Linked DNA regions of Nothobranchius furzeri. Each later gene encodes a partner of the first gene's protein in a complex. Links are inferred from orthologs where the notes say so. Each region holds a gene or a part of one and is shown in the gene's direction. Other genes may lie near its edges.

Evidence for each region. The genes of interacting proteins can lie anywhere in the genome.
Region 2: surf1 (region 1) and smim20 share a complex: the UniProt entries of both Homo sapiens proteins name them as parts of the MITRAC (mitochondrial translation regulation assembly intermediate of cytochrome c oxidase complex) complex. The link is inferred for Nothobranchius furzeri from reciprocal best matches to the Homo sapiens genes SURF1 and SMIM20.

Annotation. Positions count from the first base shown.
Region 1 is NC_091746.1:62,106,463-62,108,764, reverse strand, and holds the end of surf1 (surfeit locus protein 1), read left to right. Parts: intron 1-463; coding exon 464-655; intron 656-733; coding exon 734-806; intron 807-1,060; coding exon 1,061-1,223; intron 1,224-1,325; coding exon 1,326-1,407; intron 1,408-1,479; coding exon 1,480-1,546; 3' UTR 1,547-1,649; downstream 1,650-2,302. Other genes in the region: rpl7a (large ribosomal subunit protein eL8), read right to left, coding at 2,073-2,177, 2,261-2,302. UniProt on the Homo sapiens protein: Component of the MITRAC (mitochondrial translation regulation assembly intermediate of cytochrome c oxidase complex) complex, that regulates cytochrome c oxidase assembly.
Region 2 is NC_091742.1:58,396,530-58,400,289, reverse strand, and holds the start of smim20 (small integral membrane protein 20), read left to right. Parts: upstream 1-1,521; 5' UTR 1,522-1,614; coding exon 1,615-1,723; intron 1,724-1,976; coding exon 1,977-2,033; intron 2,034-3,760. Other genes in the region: man2b2 (epididymis-specific alpha-mannosidase), read right to left, coding at 617-763, 918-1,058.

The DNA of each region.
Region 1 (2,302 bases):
TGCCACTCCACAGGAACTGCCCCTGATGACCACGCAGTGTTGCAGAGACGTGTCAACCAAGACAGTCCTACAACATCCAAAGCTTGGAGATACCCAGGTCCGATCTCATCCACCCCAGGGGCTCCTCCGCTGCGTAGTTGTTTGACTACCTCAGCAATTTCTGCCCCAGAGATTGGACAGTCCATCCCCAGGTCTACCAGCTCTGGTTCCTCCTCGGTATGCGTGTCAGTGGGATTGAGGAGCTCCTCAAAGTATCCCTTCCACCGCTTGACTATGGCCCCAGTTGACATCAATAGCTCCTCATCCCCACTGGAAACAGTGTGAGCAAGTTGCTGCCTTCCTTGGTCTGACGGAAAACCCTTGTGTCAGACATTAGTTGCTGCTGAAAAATACTGTCAAGAGTTCATGGACCTCACCTTATTGATGTACAGATTTGCTTGTCCCTTTCCTCCCTGGACACTAGTCCTCTTGAGGTGAATGAGCTGGAGTACAGAAGGGTAAAAGTACGTGGACATTACGACCACTCCAAGGAGCTATATGTCATGCCCCGCTCGCCCGTTAATCCGGAGAAGGAAGCCAGAGAGGCTGGAAGTCTGTCCTCGAGTGGAGAGATCGGCGCTAATGTCATCACCCCGTTCCACTGCACCGACCTTGGGTAAGTACGCACGACGGTGTTCCTAACATCACAGCTGATAGTTTAAGAACTAACCTGCAGCTGCTCGTTTCTCTGCAGCACCACAATCCTGGTGAACAGAGGATATGTTCCAAAGCAGAAAGTCAGACCAGAAACGAGGATGAAGGGGCAGGTTTGTTTTTTAGTATTCCAAGACATTTATTTTAGACAAGATTTGACTGATTTAGTTATCTTTACCCTATATTCACTGTAATTTAAAGGCACGCGTCTGAAACCTAATCTGTTTAAATCTTCTTTTGGCTGAAAGTGTCACTGTTAGCCTTCATTAATCTGGTTTTTAGTTTTATGCAAATTCAATTTAGCAAAAATTAATCCATCATTTGACATTTTTAATCCTTTAACGCCAGCTGTGCTGCTTTCGTGCAGGTGGAGGATGAGGTGGATGTGGTGGGAGTCGTTAGGCTGACTGAGAGTCGGAAACCATTTGTACCAAACAATGATGTGAACAGAAACCGCTGGCATTACCGTGACCTGGAGGCCATGGCCAGCGTCACAGGAGCAGCACCGATTTTCATTGACGCAGACTTCGGTAAGATCTCCATCACAATCCAAACAAAAGTTTCAGCTGGCTTCAAAACTAGTATTTCCATTGTTACAAAACTCATAATTTGAGATGTTCTGTATTGCGCAGAGAGCACAATCCCTGGAGGGCCAGTTGGTGGACAGACCAGAGTCACTCTGAGGAACGAACACATGCAGTATATAATAACATGGTGTGTTCAGTGAACCTTTATCTTTTTTAAAACCAGGAAACAGATTTATAAATATTCCTTCTCCTTTTGCAGGTATGGCCTGTGTGCAGCTACGTCCTACATGTGGTGGGCCAAGTTCATCAAAAAGATTAAAATGTAATTCAGATTGCAACAGAAATGTTTCCTACTGTATACCAATATCAGCTTGCTCAGTACTTTTATTTATCCAACAAGAAATAAAATCTTTGGTTGTGGGAATTTTATTTGAAGCTATAAGTGGCTAAGAGTTGCACCTGTTTTATAAAGAGCCAAATAAACGTAAACCAAGCTAGCTGGTAAAAAAACTTTCATTAGAAATTTAATTACAGTGAAGCTCCAGCTGTTCACACATTTATACAAGTACAGAACTAATGCAGGTTTAACTTGGATTAGTTGAGATCAGTTAGATTATATCAGACCCATGAAAACCATCTGACCTTTTAACTAAAGGATCCACAAAGTTTCTTCTCACCTTGCCTTTACGGTACAAAGAAATTCTGCTAAAATTGATAAGAATAAGTAAATTTAATCAAACTAACCTTTATACATTTGAGATGATTCTTTAACTTAACAGTTTGTACAACACTAACTTTAAATGATAGACAAACTCAGTAATTTTAGGACATAGATTTTTTATTCCAAACATTTTAACCAAGCTTGGTTGCCAGCTCCTTGGCCTTTGCTTTCTCCAACTTAGTGAAGCGGGCTGTGGATTTGGGGCCCAGGATGCCACCTCCCCAGTGACGACGGATCTGAAAAACAGGTTTAGGTTGTTTGGAAAGTTTGTTTTGAGACAAATTTGTAAAATATAAATACTAACATGATTAACTCTCACCTCTTCATATCTGTCATTGTAGTTGGTCTTGATAGCTTCCAC
Region 2 (3,760 bases), on another chromosome or scaffold:
AACTAGATGTGTTGCATCCCGGTTTTCATTCAGACATAAGTTTAAGGTTTATTTAAAATGTCTACGAGATGTTTGGATAAAAATACCTGAGATACAGAACTCCGGCTTCTTTTTTAACAGTTTTAGAGGCAAACGACAAGAGCTGCTGGTCATCAGAGCAGCATTCCTGTTGCATATGGATGATGCAACCAGTCACAACATGGAATGTTGAATTTCCAACTTCCTTACATTCTTGGAATGAAAAAAGGGCGCGACCACCACATAGTTCTGTCCTAACCTTTACTGGAACTGAAAGTGTTGAAAAGTAACCCAAACATAAAGATAAGTGCTCCGCAGAGGATAAAAGTGCATGAATTATTTAAAAACAAACAATGTAGTACCACTAAACTGCACCTCCCCACGGCTCACGCCCCCACTAGTTAAAGCAAACAGGGGCAAATGTATGTACCCATAAATAAAGATTGTCTTATTTTGGTGTTTTTGATTCAAGAAAACTAAAATGGGATCATAATGTGTGTCTTTCCTGGTAACTAAGCCCCCAAGAATGAAAATTTCAGCTGATATTTTCATTGATGAATGCAGACACAATCATCTGACTAAAGAACTGAGTTCTTACTTGTTTCTTTAGGGAGTCTGAGGCGACAGTGTCCCACCACAGGCGAAAGAACTCCTGTTCCACAGCGATGAACCTTCGATCTTTGTACTTTGACAGCTCCTGGGTCACACTGGTGTACACGTTAGCTGCATAGGCATGCATGCTCTCCTGCAAAACACACACACACACACACACACACACACACACACACACACACACACACACACACACACACACACACATACACACACGCACGCACGCACGCACGTTTAGAGGGGAAAACACACATATTCATTTGGAATTCAAGATCACCCTCCACTACCTGAATGGTGTAAACCCAGCCAACATCCATGTGACTGTGAGGAATGACAAACGTTTGAATGGGCTGATCCTCAGCTGTCGATTCATGTGAACAAAATAAACAAAAACACACAAAAACTGTAAAAAACATATTTTTTTCCATCCTGAAAATGAGAAAATTCGTTCGACAAAATCCACCAGCTTCACTTCCTTATCATGTTGTTGTTTAGAATGACTGGCATTTCATACGGAAGCCCTGGTAGCCCAAAAGAAGTGACGCGAGTGACGTTCAACACTGGTGTTACATTCAAATGCGCCCCCTATTGTGTTTAAATCATGCCCATGCTATTTCACACTTATATAGTTCAAAATAATTTTAAAAAACTGCTATAAGGAAAAATCTTCATAAGTTATTTTTAAACAAATTTTAGCAAGTAGCAAACTGAAATAAAACAAAAAAATCTCAGTGTTCAGTTGGATAATAAGCTCACACATATCAAATAAATGAACTTATCTCATATTGTCAAAGACAATTTTGTTCTTTGAAGCTAAAATGTGTAAAAGTTAGCAAGACGGAAAATATTTTGATGTCTAGTTTGGGAACATTTTCAGCGGACACATTTCTATGTAGAACATATCATGACGTAATGGCCGGAAGCTGTCGCTGTAAACGCAAGTAAACACGCTTGGAGGTGAGAGACCGCCTCTGATGTAAGAAAATGTCCAAAAACGCTAAAATAGTGTTAATATTCGGAGGCTTCGTTACGGCGGTGGCCGCTGCGTTTTACCCCATATTTTTTTATCCTCTAACACACAAAGACGATTACAGTAAGTGCTTATTTTCCAACACGAGCACTCAACTGCTTCATATTGTGTTTTAACTTGAAATCCAGCAATGCTAAATGTTGTTTGACACGATTGAAACGCTAGCTAACTTTAGCTTGTTTACCACTGACTTTCTATGACAGAGTTTTTAATCCCGTAGTGAAGAAATCAAACCAGCAAAAATAAAATAAAAATCTTAACCAACAAATATGTTTTAATATTAATCTTGTGTTCTGTGTTTCTGTGATTTTGCCAGGAGAAGTCCAAAAGGTAAACCGGGCAGGAATTAACCAGGCAGATGTGCAGCCAGTTGGTAAGAACTAATAATAAAACAAAAATCAGCAATAGTGATCGGCTGTTATCTGGGTCACTCCATTCCCTCAGACTCTACCCAGCTGTTGCCGCCATTACTTTCTGTTATTTATCTGTATATTCAGTGTTTTGATACAAAAAGTAGATTTATCTCCCATTTAATTAAATTCCAACCCTTAAATCACTTTCAGCTTTTTTCAACTAACAAAATCAATTTATTAAAATGTACCCTTAAAGCTCATTATCTTAAATTTTAATTATTATTTTTATTTATCTCACTTATCCGTGGGTCCAAGGCATTTTCTAGGACTGTAAGAAGTTCAACTTCTTTTTTGTAGAGCTCGTTCTGCCCTTCAGTTAGTCTTTCATAAAACTGCATTCATAAACTCTGTTTTTCTGTCAATAAGGGGTTCTGTGTGTACAATGAGAAAAAAATGAATGTATTGTTTTCCACAAAAACTGCAATATAAGAGGAAGAAGAAGAAAATATAATTTCTATAGTGCCTCTGAAGATAAAAATCATGAGGTGCTTCACATAAACAAAAAATGTAAAAATATCAAAAAGAATTTAGAAAATTGTTAAAATATATTTAAAATTAGCAAAAAAATAATAGACAATTGTGATTAGAAAATGTAAAGAGAGAGAGTGAATAGGAAAGAGGGAAATCAGTGGATCCTGAGGAAAGTGGAATAGGTGGGGAGAGCAGAATAAAGAGAGAGTGGTGAAGAAGGTCATGCAAAAGCCACTTTGAACAGCTGATTCTTCAGCTGCTTTTTGAAGGAGACCACTGAGTCCACTGATCTCAGGCTCAGGGGGAGAGAGTTCCAGAGTCTGGGGGGCCACAGCAGCAGATGATCTGTCACCTTTGGTCTTTAGCCTGGTGCTGCACAACCAGTAGGCTTTGATCACTGGCCTCAGGGACCTGCTGGGGGTGTAGGGACTAAGAAGATCACCAATGTAAGATGGTGCTTGTTCATGTAAGGCCCTGTAGACCTGAACCAGGATCTTGAAATGAACCCTGAAGTTGACTGGCAGCCAGTGAAGCTGGAGGAGAAGCGGGGTGATGTGGGTGTGTTTGGAGGACTTGGTCAGAAGCCGAGCACAGGCATTCTGAACCACCTGTAGACGGTTCAGGGAGGTTCTGCTCAGACACGTGAAAAGAGAGTTACAGTAGTCTAAGCGTGAGGAGATGAAGGTGGGGGTAACGATCTCAAGTTCAGAGTGGGACAGAATGGGACTCAGCTTAGCAACGTGCCTGAGATGGAAGAAGGAAGAGCGAACAAGAGAACTGACATGAGAATCCAGGGTGAGAGCTGGGTCAAAGGTCACGCCAAGATTCCTGACGGAAGGTTTGGTGTGGGAAGCAAGCTGACCAAGAGAGTCTCTGACTTTGGGAACCAGCTTGTCTGGGGCACAGATGAGGATATCAGTCTTATCTTCATTCAGCTGTAGAAAGCTCCCAGCCATCCAGGTTTTGATAGAGTCTAAGTAGGTGTGTAACATCTGCAGCTTAGACATCTCATGGGGCTTAAAGGAGATGTACAGCTGGATGTCATCTGCATAAAGATGGTAGGAGATTCCTTTGAAGGAGCTCAGGATGTGCTGAAGAGGAAGCAGATAGAAGAGGAAGAGCAGAGGCCCCAGCACAGAACCTTGTGGGACACCATGGGTAAGAGAGGTGGTGGAGGACCTAAACTTGGAGACGGCCACAGAGAAGGAGCGCTCAG